3 linked regions of the Macaca fascicularis genome follow. The protein of the gene in region 1 interacts with the protein of each later gene in a biochemical or structural test. Links are inferred from orthologs where the notes say so. Each region holds a gene or a part of one and is shown in the gene's direction. Other genes may lie near its edges. The genes, in order: DNM1, SH3GL2 and SH3GL1.

The links.
Region 2: the proteins of DNM1 (region 1) and SH3GL2 form a complex in vitro, tested with the Homo sapiens proteins (2 studies listed by BioGRID and IntAct, with this or other methods). The link is inferred for Macaca fascicularis from reciprocal best matches to the Homo sapiens genes DNM1 and SH3GL2.
Region 3: the proteins of DNM1 (region 1) and SH3GL1 form a complex in vitro, tested with the Homo sapiens proteins (2 studies listed by BioGRID and IntAct, with this or other methods). The link is inferred for Macaca fascicularis from reciprocal best matches to the Homo sapiens genes DNM1 and SH3GL1.

Annotation. Positions count from the first base shown.
Region 1 is NC_088389.1:15,776,364-15,782,780, reverse strand, and holds the start of DNM1 (dynamin-1), read left to right. Parts: upstream 1-2,372; 5' UTR 2,373-2,464; coding exon 2,465-2,625; intron 2,626-3,176; exon of another isoform or gene 3,177-3,449; intron 3,450-6,417. UniProt on the Homo sapiens protein: Catalyzes the hydrolysis of GTP and utilizes this energy to mediate vesicle scission and participates in many forms of endocytosis, such as clathrin-mediated endocytosis or synaptic vesicle endocytosis as well as rapid endocytosis (RE).
Region 2 is NC_088389.1:81,059,728-81,064,871, reverse strand, and holds the end of SH3GL2 (endophilin-A1), read left to right. Parts: intron 1-1,733; coding exon 1,734-1,933; 3' UTR 1,934-3,320; downstream 3,321-5,144. UniProt on the Homo sapiens protein: Implicated in synaptic vesicle endocytosis. May recruit other proteins to membranes with high curvature. Required for BDNF-dependent dendrite outgrowth.
Region 3 is NC_088393.1:5,134,848-5,141,430, reverse strand, and holds the start of SH3GL1 (endophilin-A2), read left to right. Parts: upstream 1-2,188; 5' UTR 2,189-2,335; coding exon 2,336-2,380; intron 2,381-6,583. UniProt on the Homo sapiens protein: Implicated in endocytosis. May recruit other proteins to membranes with high curvature.

The DNA of each region.
Region 1 (6,417 bases):
ACAGCTGCCAGGATGCAAGTTGTGTGGCACTGATGCTCCAGCTGTCTGGTGAGCTGTCATCATTGGCATCTTCACAGCTGCAGCTTAATAAGGGTCCCCTGGCCGGGGGCGGTGGCTCAAGCCTGTAATCCCAGCACTTTGGGAGGCCGAGATGGGCGGATCACGAGGTCTGGAGTTCGAGACCATCCTGGCTAACACAGTGAAACCCCGTCTCTACTAAAAAATACAAAAAACTAGCCGGGCAAGGTGGTGGGCGCCTGTAGTCCCGGCTACTCGGGAGGCTGAGGCAGGAGAATGCCGTAAAAACCCGGGAGGCGGAGCTTGCAATGAGCTGAGATCCGGCCTCTGCACTCCAGCCTGGGCGACACAGCGAGACTCCGTCTCAAAAAAAAAAAAAAATAAGGGTCCCCTGAGCACCAGGCCTGGGCTGTGCCCTACACAGGCATTTGATCTATTATTATCCCCATTATCCAGATTAGTTAACTGAGGTTCAGAGACGTGGAGGGACCTGGGTCATGCAGCTTGTTTAAGGCCCAGATTAGGCTCCTAATCCACTCCCTTGTGCTACTAGGGAGAGGGCCTGCTTGTTCCCCATGCCTGCCTCGAAGATTCCTCCCCACAAGGGTCACTCTCTGATCACCGTCTTCACAATAGCAACACCACCCTACCCCGCCCCTGCTTTCTGGCTCTGCAGGGCACATCATCTAACAGGGCCATCGGTATTGCCCTATTTCCATATTGTCTGTCTTTTTCCACTGAATTGTCAGCCACATGTGGGTAAGAACTTTGTCCATTTTGCTCACTGCTTTATCTCTGGAGTCTAGCATAGTACCTGGCTCAACAAATCCGCATTAAATGGATGAGTAAGTGAACAGTCTTCAATTCACAGACCACTTTGTCAGCAGTGCCCCCACACTGTTCACAGCACAGGGAAATGACTCACTGACTCCCCATAAGCACAGTGTAGGCTAGCCTTCCCTTCCTAGCCTCCGCCATGAATACTAATTAGGTTTCTTAAATGCAGAGGTGGATGGCTGGGCTCAGGGCCCCATGGTCTCTCCGTGTGAAAGGGTAAGCAGGGCAGGATTGTAGGAGGCTTGGATTTGAATCCCACTGCTTTTTTTTTTTTTTTTTTTTTTGTGAGACGGAGTCTCGCTCTGTCGCCCAGGCTGGAGTGCAGTGGCGCGATCTCGGCTCACTGCAAGCTCCGCCTCCCGGGTTCATGCCATTCTCCTGCCTCAGCCTCCTGAGTAGCTGGGACCACAGACGTCCGCCACCACGCCCAGCTAATTTTTTGTATTTTTAGTAGAGATGGGGTTTCGCCGTGTTAGCCAGGTGATCTCCCGACCTCGTGATCTGCCCGCCTCGGCCTCCCAAAGTGCTGGGATTACAGGGGTGAGCCACCTCGCCCGGCCGAATCCCACCGTTTTATGCTGTTTTACCACCATCCTAATGGGCTGGAGCAAAGACTTCCAACTCTAGGGCAAGAGCTTCCAATTCTCCCAAGAAGGGCCTTTCAGGCATCAGGGCCTCTGCACTTGCTGGTCATTCAGCCTGGCATGCTCTTCCCCCGATCTGCTTGCTGCTGGCTCCTTGTCATCGTTCTGGTCTCTTCTTAAATGTCACTTCTGCAGAGAAGTCCCCCGACTCCTCCCAAGTCAATGTGAACTTTCCACACCCACAATGATACCTTTTTTTCACACTGTTTATTTCCTCCATCCCTGTTACTATAAACTATTTTCATTTTTACTGTTTTGTGTATCTGCTTATCCATTTAGTGTCGATCTCACCAGCTTGATGCAAGATCTATGAGGGCAGAGGCCTTGGCTGTCTTATTCGTTGCTCAATCTTCCGTGCCTAGGACAGGGCCTGGCTTCTAGCAGGTACCTAGTAAATATTTGTTGAATTCATGCTCCAACTTTCTCCTTCTAGAAACAAGGAAACTGAGGACCAAAGGCAGAAAGGGACATGTTGGAGATCAGAGTCAGGATCTAGGGGTCGAAGGCAGCGAGGTGAAGGGGAACTCCAGGTCAGGAAGCTGTGACCTCAGAGGAAGCCCATCTACTCTCCAGGCCTCAGTTTCCTCATCGGTAAGATAGAGTGAAACATCCATGACCACTATCCAAGAGGCCTGGTACTAGGAGTGAGACCCCACCCATTGACAAATATATTCTGCGCAGCATCCGTCCGCGCACCCTAGACACTGCTAAAGCACCCCGAAAGCCGCAGAAGGTTAAAACTACGACACCCATGGTGCCCCGGGCGGCGCCTGCGCACGGCGGCCGGCCCGCAGCGTCGCGGGCTCCCCCTAGCGGCTTCCCGGAGCGGTGCTCGCTCCGATCCCCGAGGGGCGGGGGCCGCGCGGCTCAGGCAGTCGGGGCGCGAGGCTGCAGCGGCGGAGCCGGAGTCGGAGCCGGGAGCGCGAGCGGCAGCCGGATCGCAGCCTGCGGGGCCCGCCGCAGCCATGGGCAACCGCGGCATGGAAGATCTCATCCCGCTGGTCAACCGGCTGCAAGACGCCTTCTCTGCCATCGGCCAGAACGCGGACCTCGACCTGCCGCAGATCGCCGTGGTGGGCGGCCAGAGCGCCGGCAAGAGCTCGGTGCTCGAGAATTTCGTAGGCAGGTAGGCGCGGCGCGCCCCCAGGCGCCGACCCCCGACCCCCAGGATCCCCGGAGTCCCTGCCCGGGGCACCGACGGCGCGGCGACCTCGCAGCCCCCGACGCTGCACCCGCGGCCGGCGCGCCCCCCACCCCCAGCCGGAGCGAGGCGGCCCTCCCCACCTCGAGAGCCCCTCCGGGCAGCAGCGCCGCCCGCTAGTCTGCAAACGTCGTCAAGCCTCCGGCTGCCGAATCACGCCCCCTCCTCCGTCCCATCCTTTAGGGCAGACAACCCTCTGACAGAAGCCCTGGCCAAAGGGCTGCCCCCCGCCCCCAACATGGGCATGGAGAGAGCCCGCATTACTCAGCGCCTCCGTTGGGCTCCGGGAGTCCCTTGGAGCGGGCAGCACCCGGGGGCAGCGGCCCCCCCACCGGACTCTATGGGGGACATCCTCCTACCCCCATGGGAATTCCTGGGCCGTGGCAGGGGTCAGACCCCCACCCCAGTCCCTAAAAGAGGACGTAGTCCCGTGGGCATCGAGGACCCGGTACGGCCTCCCCCCGGCACACACACACCTCTGCGGCTCCCGCCGCCATCCGTGCGCAGCGCGGCGGAGAGGGGGAGGCGCGGGCTGCAGGATGAGGAAGGGAAGAGGGGAGGAGAAACCACTTCTTATCCTTCTCTGAGCAGCCGGCCCCTTGCTTCGCCACGGCCCCTGGGTGGGGGGCGCCTCTCAGTGTCGCCGTCCCCTTGGCCTGGCCAGAGGGATCGTGATGGAGGGAGAGGCGGCAGAGGGCAGAGATGACTAAGACCGGGATGGCGGGAGGGGGGAGCCATTTGCAGAACCTAATCCCCCTCCCGCCTCTGATCCCACAAGGCGCTGGGAGGCCTAGGTGGCGGAGAGGGGAGCAACCACAAAGACAAAGGGTCCTGGGATTACGGGGGCAGGGAGGGTCGTGACCCCCAGGCTCTCCCCAAACCCCCAGGGGGAGGAAGAAACAGTTTTTCTGGTGCTGAGGACAGAGAGGAAAGATAGGAGCTCTCCAGGTACTGGAGGTGAGATGGGGGGCTGGGCAGACTGGGAGACGAAGTGAGAGAGTTTACACTGACCCCCTCTTTCATCTCCCCCCCATCTTCTTCAGAAACCCTTGCTTTCTTCCAATGACCTTCAGGGCCAAAAAAGTGACTGGCACATGGGAGAGGGAGGCAGGGGTCCTTCTCCGCAGAGGGACAGCAATTCTGTCCAAGCCAGGTTCTGCTGCAAAACCTCAGGCAAGTCACTTGCCCTCTCTGAGCCTTAGTGTCCCCATCTCTAACATGGACAGTGGGACTAGATGGTTGTTCCTGCCCCTCAAATGTCCTGGGAAACCCATGCCAGCCCTAGAGGTGAGAGGGAGAGGGCCTGACTGGAGCCACGTATGTGTGGGATGTTGGAATGCCACCGTGGAGGCGGCCGTGCCCATCTGGTCAGCAGAGGGGGAGGCATCTGTCTCTCCGATGGCTCCTGCAGAACCCCCCTTCTGATCACATGACCCCCAGAGCTGCAGAGACCCAGGCAAGAGACACACAATGAGCCCCTTCCCCAAGGGCCGGCAGTCAGGGACAGCCAACAGTTTAGAGTGGAGAAACCATATTCCTACCTCTCCTCCTTTGAATGTTGGCTGAATTCCTGCCCCACGCCAGGCTGCGTGCTCCAGGCTTGGGGTAGGGAGGGAACCAACTGGTGATTTCAGCCCCCGTCTACTGAGTCCATCCTATGTACCCCCTATGCTGAATCAGTCATAGGCTCACAGGAGCTCCCAAGAGGCAGGCACCATGATGCCCATCCTACAGATGAGGAAACTGAGACCCTGGAGGTTAAATGCCTTGCCCAAGGTCACACATTCAGGAAGGGCAGCAGCTGTTAGACTCCAAAGCCCAGTTCCTAATCTCGACGCTGCACATCCTCTGAGAGCCGGATCCTGCACCAGACACAGGGACAAGCGGGTGGGTGGGCCTCCATTTCCCCATCTGTGGAATGGGAACGCTGACAGCCACTGCCCTGCCTTCCTGAGAAGGTGACTGTGGGCTCCACTGAGTTCATGGGTGGAAAGGTTCTTTTGTAAATATGCGGGACAGGGCGTTGATAGCCAATTAGGCTTGGGGACCTGCATGTCCAGCCCCTGCCCTCCTGGAGCCCATGATGCAGGGGCCAGCCCTGACCACGGCAGATTTCAGCAAGTACTTGCTGGCTGAGTGGCGGAGCAGGGTGTGGACTGTACCCCAGGAGGCCTGGGCCCTCTGGCTGCCCTCTGCACCCCAATGCCCTTGGCCAGGTCCCCACAGGAGGATGTGCAGGGTGTCCAGATGCAGGCTCAGGGCAGGGGAGGGGGCTTAGGTTGATGTGAAGGAGTAGGCAGGAAAGCATTCATGATCCCCTGAAAGCTAGTGAGAAGGCCAGGGAAACTGAGGCTCAGTGGGTTCCACCATCTCAGCCTGACAGCTCCTTCAAGGGCTCCTGACCTCTCCAACAGGGCTCAGTCCCCAGCCTGGTGAGCATAGTAACAGCCATTCTGTCTCCTGGGGCTTCCCAGGAGCCAATCCCCCACGGAAAATGCTTCAAAGGAAAATGCATCAGGGCTGTCCCAGGTCCACCTGGGCTTCTGGGCGCTCAGAAGGATCTTGCTGTCAGCTCTGCAATGGAGGTAGCGTTGCAGCTGCCCGGGATGCTGCTAGAACTTGTCTAGGTCTATACTGTTTCTTCACCCCCTTCCCTTTTACAGAAGGGAAAACTGAGGCTAATTCATTCAGTCATTTAGTAAACATTTGTGGAGGGTGCACGATGTCTTGGCACTATGGTGGAAAAGACCAAGGCTCTGCATTGCAGAGGGAGAAACTTAGAAGACAACTGGAAAATGTGGTCAACGTCAGGGAGGGGAGCGGGGCTGCTCTCCCAAGGGAGGTCAGAAGTCTCCGGGAGGAGGTGGCATCTGAGATGAGAACCGAGGGATGAGAAGCTGTGTAACTTGCCGGGGTGGGAGAGTTCCGGGCCGAGGGAAAGGTGCAAAGGCCCTGGGGTAGCAAAGAATTTGGTGCCTTTGAGGAACAGAAAGGACCCCCTGTAGCTGGTGTTTGGCTAGCAAGGGGGAGACAGGACCTGAGAGACAGGCAGGGGCTAGATCTACAAAGCCCTTAGGCCACGAGGAGTGAGGAGTTTGGGTTTATTTTCTCTCTTGTGGGAAGCTTTTTAGTAGTGGATTGACTTGAGCTGATTCTAGCAAGGGTGTGACTTGGGGAGGGGGTGAGGGAAAAGGCAGGAGACTGGTGCGGAGGCTGCTGCAGTGGGCAGAGGGCAGTGGAGGTCCCGAACGAGGGCTTTAGCTGCAACGAGAAGGAGAACGGTGGGTAGGTTTCAGGATATATTTTGGAGGAAGTCCTGCTGGAGGATGAATGTGGAGGGTGAGGAAGGAGGAATCAATGATGACATCTGGGATTTTGACCTGAGCTCCTGGGTGGGTGTTGGTGCCATTAACAGAGTCGGGAAGAGTAAGGAGGAGCAGACTGGGGGGACGGGGGAAGACCAGCGTTTGGTTCTGAACATATTGAGCCTGAGATGCCTGTTAGACTTCTGAGGGGAAGATGTCAACTGGCAGTTTGGTGATGCAAGTCGGGAGCTCAGGGGGAAGGCGGGCTGGAAATAAAAATTTGGAAGTCGTTGGTGTAGAGATGGGATTTAAACCCGAGAGTAGATGAGCTCATCCTGGGGGTAAGTGTAGACGGGGGAGTGTTTGTGGACCCAGCACCCGCCAGCCTTTCATGAACAGATGCCTGGTGCCC
Region 2 (5,144 bases), about 65 Mb from region 1:
TTGTGGTCGTAAATTGCCTTTCCTTGTCAGTTTGGTCTGCGTGTGTCATCTTTTCTCCTTCCTGTTCCCTCTGAATCCAGCCTGTATGACAATGAATGCCCCTGGACAGTGTGTCCCCATATGCATTCACATAGAGCCCACAGACGGCAAGCGGCTCCAGAAATGTGCTGATGAGCTGGATTTCTTGAGTCACAGAAGCATATGGTTAAATATATTTGCAGAAGATATTTTGAAACTCGACACTTGCTGGGTTTTCTTTCCCGTGCCTCACCTCTGATCACTTTATCATGCTGTGGCACTGGGGTTGATATAATAAAAGCTAGATGATATTTTATCTCAGGAATATCGATGCATACCTAATAGAGCATTCTTTTCCTTGTCACGCTTGCTCTCCACTCCCTACATGCAGATTACACAACAGCCTGTGCTGGAGACATTTTCAACCTCCACATTTGCTTGTTTGAAGTGGGAACTGTCTTATACTGGATGTGGATGTTAGAGATAGACAGCTTTCTTTTATTTTTCCTGTATCCCCAGTGCTTGATGTTCTACGGTAGAAAACTGTTTGTAAGATGCTCTCAGTTATTAAGAAAAAAAATAAGATCTGAGCCAGCAGGTGGCGCTCTCTGCCCTTTGTGCTCAGCACTTCTGGGCATGGCATAAGCAGCTGTGGCTACTGATGCTGGCCACCAGGACTAGTCATAGAAATTGTGTATAGCTGTGCTTCTCCCTGCCTGCAGACCAGCCATATATTTCACTTTTCATCTGGAGACTCAGTCATTTGCTTCTTTCTCTAAATCATTGTTTCCTTTCCAGCCACCTAGATGGCATGGGAGCTGTGTGCACTTGTCTGAGTCTGTATCTACATATGTATGCATCTAATACTAATGCAGTGGGTCATTTGGAATAGATCCCTCTTAAGATATGATTTCATCCTTCATTATTTTACTCGAGGTAGAGTACATTATTTTTGTATGCCGTAGCTCCAGTGCACTGCCTATATTTATATATGCAACAGTTTACCAAGTATAAATTATATAATTTTTTTTACATAATCTCATTTAGTAGCCACAGTAGTAATGTGAAGTAAGTCCTACTGTTACATCCAATTTCAGACAGTGAAACTGAGAGTGAAGTGCCCTGTGTAAGGTCACAGAAAGTAAAAACTTGAACTCAGTGTTTTATATTATTCTGTTGTTACCACGTTACAGCAGTTTTCCAGAGGCTGGGATTATCATTTTAAACAGCGATAACCAAACTGTTACTCAAAAACATTCTCCATGTAATTAACCATACTTTTTCAAATATGCAAAGATTTTAAAGTGCTCACATGAGACAATTCAGGCCATGCTGTGTTATTAACCTACATCATTATATTCTTTTTAAGTCATTGTCCCTCCTATTTCTGGGCATTATCACAAAGGCAAACTTTAACGAAATCTGTTGTATGTATCACAAGAATAGTTGTGACCGTTTTTCATACTGGAAACAGAAACAGGAATAAACAGCAACTTCCAAAGGTCCGAGAAAGCTTCTGAGGACTGGTAGAGGGCAAGATGCCCAATGAGTGTACACTGAGGTCCAGTAGCAAGAAGAAGCTTCAACAGGAAGAGGAATGAGGGAGGAAAGACGGGGAGCAGCAAGCCAGGTGGGTGCAGCAGGCAGCAGATTCTGTGAGTTAAATACCCCTTATCCTTGTGTGTTCTTCTTTTCTCTCCTGCTCTTACTCCCAGGTGTCCAAATGGATCAGCCCTGCTGCCGAGCTCTGTACGACTTTGAACCTGAAAATGAAGGGGAGTTGGGATTTAAAGAGGGCGATATCATCACACTGACTAACCAAATTGATGAGAACTGGTATGAGGGGATGCTGCATGGCCATTCAGGCTTCTTCCCCATCAATTATGTGGAAATTCTGGTTGCCCTGCCCCATTAGGATGTTATGCTGGCTGGCTCACCTCCTCTTGACTCAGATAGTTACGGTTAACCACTGCTTTGGTAATGCTGCTTATAACACATCCCAAGTGCAGGCCGCAGTGGTCCACGTCATCCAGCCCCACCAAGTGTATTTGGTTGACTTGTGGGCTCCCACAGGAGTCATGGTGATGGATGATATCCTCTTAGCCTGGTGGGCATGGCATGTGCTTTTTAAAACATCATCTGAGACCAGCCAGTAGTCACAGAACTGCTGTTTACACAGTTCTCAGGAGGCTGTGGTTTCTTAGAATATGACCATGAGCCACATCACAGAAAAACCTTCCCACCGAAGATATTGTCTATCACCCCAGGGGGCATCTGAAGGTCTTTTTGCATTTCTCCATGCAAAGAGGAGAAAGTTTTTGCTTTCACACTGTCCCTTCCCAAATATGTGAGTCATGGAATTGTCAAAGTAAGCCTTCCCTCACCAGCAAATTGTCTCCTGATCTGAATGAATTTGTCTCTTAATGCATCCCTAGAAAAGTGTTAATTGTGGGTTCAAAGCATTCTCTGCAAACAGGCATCTCAGCTCTTCACACTTATGGCTATTTCTGAGGTATAGCCAGTTTTCTTCCCTCCTTGCTACTAAAGCCAGAGCGGTAATTCCAAATTATTTTTCAGTAAGACAGTTAATCAGCATTATTGTGAGAGAGGCTGAAAAGAAATTCTCCATTATGAGGAAATGGGAAGAAATCTGGTATCCAAGCTTAAATTTCTTGGTGTACAGAAACTCTGTATGTATTTAGGCTATTTCTGAAGGGCACAGGGAAGGGGGAACAAATCTCTTCAGTTATATTTGTGAATTACATGTTTCATGAATCCATTTGGCACAGAGACACGAGGAGGAAAACACTAGTAACCATCTTTCCACTAGTTCATAGACTGAGAAACAGTAAATACCTTTCCTTTCCACTTTTACCCTGTGTTCTTTGAACATCATTTGTGCAGATTCTGCCCTCAATGAGGACCAAATAAAGATGATTTTTGTGCTTAGCAGTTTAAGGTATATGGCTGCATATGCAAAACTCTTTCCCAATTCAGTCGCTACTTTTACTTCTGCCCCTTCTATCCATAATCTTCATTTTGTGTATACAGTGCTGTGTGTAAGCTTATCAGTGTTTTTTTGTTTTTGTTTTTGTTTTGTATCAGTCATGAAAGTCCTGTTAGGTATCCAGAGTTCTATTTATCTAGCTGTACAGACTCTTTCAGAGGTTTAACGTGCTGCTTCCGATGTGCCACCTGCAGTAGCGGATCATGTGGAGTGAAAGGCAAATCTTACTGCTTAATGTATAAACTCTCACCACAGGAAGCATCGCTGTTTCCAATAAATATTGCTGAAGACAGAACCAAAGGCTCTGCTTCTTCATTTTGTGTCAGTTCTTTGGGTCTAACAATGGGTGGATGGGGGCTGGTTTCAGTCTCCATTGCTTTCTCATGCAGCCAAACAAGACCTGGTTCCAACTTCATATCTATCTCTTTATATGTAGGAAAAGTTTCAGCAGCAAGGATGTAGCTAGCCTGGACATTGGGATCTTCCTGGTAACCCCAGGAAGGAGGAGAATTTGGGAGAGAAGAAAGTAAGGAGAATTTCGTCTCATAGATGTTAAATGATATATTGTTAAAAGTGATATCATCTGAAGAATATAATGTTAGGAAGGGGAAATAAAATATATCTCTTCAACTAGCCTTTTATTTTATTTCATAATTGAAGATAAAGAAATAGACCTGGAAATATAGTTTGATCGAAAGCCAGTATTAGGCCAGGTGCAGTGGCTCACACCTGTAATCCCAGCACTTTGAGAGGCCAAGGCAGGTGGATCAACTGAGGTCAGGAGTTTGAGACCAGCCTGGCCAACATGGAAAAATCTTGTCTCTGCTAAAAATACAAAACTTAGCTGGGTGTGGTGGCGCATGCCTGTAATCCCAGCTACTCAGAAGGCTGAGACACGAGAATCACTTGAACCTGGGAGGCAGAGGTTGCAGTGAGCCAAGATCATGCCATTGCACTCCAGTCTGTGTGACAGAGTGAGACGTTGCCTCCAAAAAACAAAACAGGCCAGGCGCGGTGGCTCAAGCCTGTAATCCCAGCACTTTGGGAGGCCGAGACGGGCGGATCACGAGGTCAGGAGATCGAGACCATCCTGGCTAACACGGTGAAACCCCATCTCTACTAAAAAATACAAAAAACTAGCTGGGCGAGGTGGCGGGCGCCTGTAGTCCCAGCTACTCAGGAGGCTGAGACAGGAGAATGGCGTGAACCCGGGAGGCGGAGCTTGAAGTGAGCTGAGATCCCGCCACTGCACTCCAGCCTGGGCGACAGAGCGAGACTCCGTCTCAAAACAAACAAACAAACAAACCAAAAAAACCCAGTATTCTCTTGATGTATATGTTTGGGTGTGGGTGGGAATAGGGGAGCAGCAGGGCACACAGAATATGTATTTTCTGAATTCCCAAGAAAATGAACATGTTCTTTGTGTATTAGGGGCCATTTCTATTATTTTGTGAAGAGGCCAATAGTCCAGATTTTCTAATCTAACATGAATAGTTTTGTAATCAAATATACTAAGTTTCTATTAGTCCATTTTCATACTGCCATGAATAAATACCCGAGACTGAGTAATTTATAAAAGAAGAGATTTAATGGACTTGCAGTTCCACATGGCTGGGGAGGCCTCACAATCACGGCAGAAGATGAAGGAGGAACAAAGATACGTCTTATGTGGTAGCAGGCAAGAGAGCATGTGCAGGGAAATTGCCTTTTATAAAACCATCAGATCTCATGAGACTTATTCACTATCACGAGAACAGCATGGGAAAGACCCACCCCCATGATTCAATTACCAATTAGCTCCCACCCAGTCCTTCCCACAACGTGGGGATTATGGGAACTACAGTTGAAGATGAGATTTGGGTGGAGACCCAGCCAAACCATATCAAAGTTCTATATGTGAACTAGTCTAACATGAAAATGTTTTTTTCTAGCTGTATGAGTTCTAGAGTATTACAGATCAATTCTCTAAAGCAATTTTAAGAAATACTAATGATATTGTGACTATAGAAAATCATAATCCAAAGATAAACTATTAGAAAAATCAGTGAATTTAATAGGATCACAAGATATGAGGAACATACAAAAATTTTATTTTATTTCTATATATCAATAGCAATCA
Region 3 (6,583 bases), on another chromosome or scaffold:
AGCCTCCCAAGTAGCTGGGACTACAGGTATCCACCACCACACCTGGCTAATTTTTGTATTTTTAGTAGAGACGGGGTTTCACTGTGTTAGCCAAGATGGTCTCGATCTCCTGACCTCGTGATCCGCCCGTTTTGGCCTCCCAAAGTGCTGGGATAACAGGCGTGAGCCACTGCGCCTGGCCTAGTCTACTACTTTCTTTTGAGGCTTTTGGAAACTTCCAGCAATCTTCTGCTTCAAAAAATCAACAAAATCTCTCAGCGATTTCAACACTTTTAAGTACCAAGCTTTTTAACTGTAGTCATTTTCTAGTTTCTCTTTTTTGATTCATTTAGTCATTCCAATTAATTATTTCCAATTCATTTTGTACATTTTTATCAATAACGGTTGATACAAAAATCCATATCAATAACCAGGTGTCAACCTGGGAAGTCTTCCTGGAAGAGGCGACACACCACACAGCGTCCTCTTTAGGTACAAAGGGTGGAGGAAAGACTCAGGAATAATGTAGAAGAGGGAAACGATGTTAGCAGAGTCTCATAGACAGCAAGGATTATGAATTATAGAAGAGGAAGAAAGAATAGTTGAGAAGAATCTATGGGGACTGGGAACGGCGGCTCACGCCTGTAATCCCAGCACTCTGGGAGGCTGAGACAGGCGGATCACGAGGTCAGAAGATCGAGACCATCCTGGCTAACATGGTGAAACCCCGTCTCTACTAAAAATACAAAAAAATTAGCCAGGCAAAGTGGCCGGCACCTGTAGTCCCAGCTACATTCTCCCAGAGGCAGGAGAATGGCATAAACCTGGGAGCTGGAGCTTGCAGTGAGCTGAGATTGTGCCACTGCACTCCAGCCTGGGCGACAGAGCAAGACTCCATCTCAAAAAAAAAAAAAAAAAGGAAAGAAAGAAAACAGAGACAGAGAGAGTTGATGGGGCCAAATTATGCAGGCTTTGTAAAATATGTTAGGAAGTCTGGAGTGTATCCTAAGGGTGGTAGGCCGAATTAAAACAGGGGACTGGTGTGATCTGAATTGCACTCTTTTTTTCTTTAGATGGAGTCTCACTCCATCGCCCACGCTGGAGTGCAGTGGTGCGATCTCTGCTCACCGCAGCCTCCGCCTCCCAGGTTCAAGCGATTCTCCTGCCTCAGCCTCCTGAGTAGCTAGGATTACAGGAGTGCGCCAACACGCCCAGCTAATTTGTGTGTGTATGTGTGTGTTTTGTTTTTTTTTTTTTTTTGTAGAAACGGGGTTTCACCATGTTGTCCAGGCTTGTCTTGAACTCCTGACCTCGTGATCCACCCGTCTCTGCCTCCCTCACTGCTGGGACTACAGGCGTGAGCCACTGCGCCCGACCCTGAATTGCATTCTAGAAGCATCTTTCTGGCCGCCATGCCAGGGCATGAAGCCAGACCTAGATGTCTCCATGTGTCACGTGGGCAACTGAATGGATGAACACAGGACAGAGAGAGAGGAAGAGAGGTGGCCAGGCACGGTGTCTCATACCTGTGATCCCAATACTTTGGGAGGCTAGGGGAGGAGAGGGTGGATCACCTGAGGTCAGGAGTTCGAGACCAGCGTGGCCAACGTGGCGAAACCCTGTCTCTACTAAAAATACAAAAATTAGCCGAGCGTGGTGGTGCTCGCCTGTAATCCCAGCTACTCGGGGGGCTGAGGCAGGAGAACCGCTTGAACTCGGGAGGCGGAGGTTGCAGTGAACCGAGATCACGCCACTGTACTCCAGCTTGGGCGACAAAGCAAGACTCCGTCTCAGAAAAAAAGCAAAAAAAAAAAAAAAAGAAAGAAGGGGAGGGAGCCTGAACACTTAGAGGAACTGGATTTAGATTTAGCTAAGATGAGCAAACAGGAATCTGGAGAATCGTAACCAGGCAGAGGCCCCTTCTACTTCCCAACCTCCCTGGCCAGGTTTAAACTAAGCGCCTTTCCCAAGACGTTAGGGTCACCTCCGGGACTCCAGAGGGCGCTGAACCTGCTACGGCCCCTCTAGGCTCCCCCCGCTCAACTCACTGACAGAGGCGGTGTCTCCCGCGGCAGACAACGTGCACGTGCGCTCTCCAGCCGGCAGAGGGCGCGCGTGCGCAGACGGGGCCGGGGGCGCGCGCGGGGGCCGGCACCGGAAGCGTGCGGTTGCCATGTAATATCCTGGCCGCGCGGGCGCGCGAGCGGCTGAGGCGGCGCCGGGGCGGGCGCGGAGCTGGCAAGCGGCTGGCGGAGGCGGCGCCGACGGGGGCTGCTGAGGCGCGCAGAGGGTCGGCGGCGCCCGGGAGCCTGTCGCTGGCGCGGTCCGGGCGGGAGGCTCGGCGGCAGGCGGCAGCATGTCGGTGGCGGGGCTGAAGAAGCAGTTCTACAAGGCGAGCCAGGTGAGCTCAGGCCCAGGCAGGGGCCGAGTCCTGGGCCCCAGGCTGCCCGGATGAGGGGGCCAGGCCCGACCTGGCTCGGGAGGGGGCCGGAGGGACCGAGGTAGGGACGTTGGTGCGTGTCCCCCGCCGGGTGGGAAGAGCAAGGCACGGACGGGGGCGATGAGGTGGCTCAGGCCCTGCCCGCCATGCGGGCTCCAGAAGCGGGGACAGAACCCCTGGGAGGAGGGGAGAGGCACCCAGGGGCTGCCCAGGGACGCGGACCTCACCCCTCCTCCCCTCCCCTGCAAAGGCGGGGTGCGGGGAGAGAAGGGGAAGAGAGGAGTCCCGAGGCTGTCGACACAGGATTCTTGCCAGATAACCCAGAGCCAGGGAAAATTGCTTCTAGAGCAGTTCTGTTCAAAATCCTCCGGATGGGCAAGGTACAAAGTTGAAAAGGTAGAGGGAGAAGTCAGTTTCCCCTCTCTGCTCCTCGGGCAGCCAGCCCCGTCTCTCTCCCCAGAGACAGGGACTGTCATCGACTCCGTATGTCCCTTTCGTAAGATACGTGTGTGCCTTTCCTTTAAAAACACGTACACTGATAGCATTTGCCACAGAATCCTGTGTGCTGTGGTTTTCATTACTTGGAGGTCACACTGGAGCGAGATTTCTACCCCTCCGTCAGCACTGTTGACATCTGGGGCCGGATTGTTCTCCGTGGTGGGGCCATCCTGGACACTGCGGGGTGCTGAGCAGCGCCCTGGCCTCCACCCTCTCCAGGCCGGGAGCACCCCCAAGTCGTGACAACCAAAAATATCTTGAGACATCACCCTGTGTCCCCTGAGGAATAGAATCAATCTCCTTCCCTCTCTACTTTCCTTCCTTCCTTCCTCCTTTCCTCCCTCCCTGTCTCTCTCCCTTCCTTCCTTCTCTTCTTTCCTTCCTCCCTTCCTTCCCTGTCCCCCAGGACTACTGCACTAGACCATACTCCACACTTGTTGGATTTTTTTTTTTTTTTTTTTTGAGACGGAGTCACTCTCTGTCGGCCCAGCTGGAGTGCAATGGTGCAATCTCAGCTTACTGCAAGCTCCACCTCCTGGGTTCAAGCAATTCTCCTGCCTCAGCCTCCCTGGTAGCTGGAACTACAGGCATGTGCCACCGCACCCGGCTACTTTTTGTAATTTTAGCAGAGACAGGGTTTCTCCATTTGGCCCAGGCTGGTCTCGAACTCCTGGCCTCAAGTGATCCGCCTGCCTCGGCCTCCCAACGTGCTGGGATTACAGGTGTGAGCGACTGTGCTTGGCCTACTTGGATCTTTTTAATGGGTACATTGTATTTCATTCCATTAGGTGTACCATAATTTATTTAACCAGTTGTCAGTTGATAGATATTTCTGTTTACCGGAATTTTCTGCTACCATTACTACAATGAATAGCCAGTGAATATCTTTGCTCACCAGTGGGATTCGTTTTATAGGATGAATTCCCGGAAGTAGAATGTTGCATCCCAGCCTAAGTGCATTTGATTTGGACAGATAAAGGGTTTTTTGGAAAGTCCAGGACCCATTGCCCATGAATGTGGTGAAAGCTGTGGATCCACTCTCCGTAAAACTGGGCACACTTAAAATTTTCACTTTGCAACTTCAAATCTAGCAAGCCTCAAATTTGTCTGGGCACGGTGGCTCACACCTGTAATCCCAGCACTTTTGGGAGGCCGAGGTGGGAGAATCACTTGAAGCCAGGAGTTTGAGAGCAGCCTGGGCAACATGGCAAAACCCCATCTCTACTAACAGTACAAAAATTTTGTATTTTTGCCTGTAACCCCGGCTACTAAGGAGGCTGAGACAGGAGAATCTCTTGAATCCAGGAGGTAGAGGTTGCAGTGAGCCAAGATTGCGCCACTGCACTCCAGTCTGGGTGACAGAGCGAGACTCCGTCTTGGAAAAAAAAAAAAAAAAGCCTCAGATTGTTGAATCCTATTGGTCCATGCACTGCAGGGTGAGGTTGTGTGGAATTTGTGTGGATAGAGTCCACCGAGGAATGAGCAATGATGTGTTTTTTTTTTTTTTTTTTTGAGATGGAGTCACTCTGTCGCTCAGGCTGGAGTGCAGTGGAGCAATCTTGGCTCACTGGAAGCTCTGTCTCCCGGGTACACACAATTCTCCTGCCTCAGCCTCCCTTGTAGCTGGGACTACAGGTGCCGGCTACCACACCTGGCTAATTTTTTGTATTTTTAGTAGAGACGGGGTTTCACCATATTAGCTAGGATGGTCTTGATCTCTTGACCTTGTGATCTGCCCGCCTCAGCCTCCAAAGTGCTGGGATTACAGGCAGGAGCCACTGCGCCCGGCCTGAGCAATGATCTTAGCAAATGCTTGGGCCGAGGTGGCAAACAGGGTTCTCTGCCCACAGTTTGGAGAGGCCCAGTGGGAGCAAAGAGAAACAAGTCCCCAGTAACACCCAGCTGGTACCTTTTGTCCCTGGAAAGAAAAAAGTAAGGACCCTGCCAGGTGCTGTGGTTCATGCCTGTAATCCCAGCACTTTGGAGGCTGAGGCAGGGGTTCCCTTGAGTTCAGGAGTTCAAGACCAGCCTGGGCAATATAGGGAGATCTCATCCCTACAAAATATCGAAAAGTTAGCCAGGTGTGGTGATGTGCACCTGTAGTCCCAGCTACTTGGGAGGCTGAGGGGGGAGGACCACTGGAGCCCAGCAGTGCAAGGCTACAGTGAACTATGATCGTGCTGCTGCACTCCAGCCTGGACAACAAAGTGAGACCCTGTCTCAAAAAATAAAGTAACAACCCTAGTGGTTGTCTAGGGATATAGATACTTAGGGTCTATCTCTAGACCCCAGGTGATGGTTAAACCCTGGAGAAAGATTTAATCCGGATGAATTTTAGGATTGTCGCTGAGAATAGCCCCACCCCCTTGCCCCAGCAGTTTGAAATCAGATGGCCTGGCCCTGGGTTAGACCTTGCCCAGCAGGCGTCAGACCCTCACCTGCGGATTAGAGCATCGTAGAGCGCTGCTTCCTAGCAGGAAAGATGTTCTCAGAGGTCTCAGAGGAATTCCTGGGCCACTTTGTTCCGTGCCATAGACAGGTTTCTGGAAGCCACCCCCTCCTCCACCCCCAGCGATCAGGGTCTGTGCCCATGTTGTCCTGAGCTGACACCCTCTTTGGAGGAACGAGCCAGGCCTCTCACGCCAGCCACCAGGACTTTGTCTCTCTCGAGGGAAGCAGGATGACCTGCATTCAGATCTGTGAATGGCGCCTTGAAGCCTGGAAAGCACAGTGTGGTGTTAGCTGGGCTTAGGATTGCCTGTTTCCACATCCTGAGGCCTAGTCCCAAAGCACGATGGCCACAGCCCACCGTCAGGGCTGTCGTCTTGGCCTCCTGGTCAATTCTGTCTCGAGTCATGCTCTTAGAAGTCGCCCTGACTGCGTTCCTTGCTCTTCTGCGATCATTGCCATGGTTCCCTCTGACATCTCAGCTGTTATCTGGACATATCCAACTATTTGTGTTTCTTTTTTTGTTTTTAGTATAATAACAACTCTTTCACCCTCTCCTGTGCCTGTTGAAAAGTGACATCTCTCGGGATGTCTCCTTACCTAGTGGTGTGAACATTTACTGCATTCTCACCATGTGAACGGGCGGTATGCTTTATACCAGTAGGTCTCAGCTGGTCTTGCTTATCCGGCCTAAGGGTAAAAACATTCCCCCTTTTACACAAAAGGATTTGGGGATGTTTATCTTTCTATAAAACAGGGTCACTTCTGTCTTCCAGGGGACATTGACAATGTCTGGGATCTTTTTGGTTGTCACAGCTTGGTGAGGTGCTGCTGGCTACTAGTAGGTAGAAGTCAGGGATGCTGCTCAACATCCTCCTGTGCCCAGGGCTCCCCACTGCCCCCCAAGAATTACCTGGCCCCAAATGTCAATAGTACCAAATTTGAGAAACCCTGCTTTAAGATTTTGAAAAAAAATGAGGATAATTATACCAAAACAAAGGAACAAAAAAATCCCCACTGAGCCATTCTTAAGATTTTCCTAGTTTGGCCGGGTGCGGTGGCTCACGCTTTTAATCCCAGCAGTTTGGGAGGCACTCCAGCCTGGGGGATGAGAGCCAGACTTCGTCTCCAAAAAAAAAAATAAAGTAAAAAATAAAATAAAGATTTTCCTAGTTTGTTAAACACAGATAGCCACATGCGTAGTTTGTTTTTTGTTTT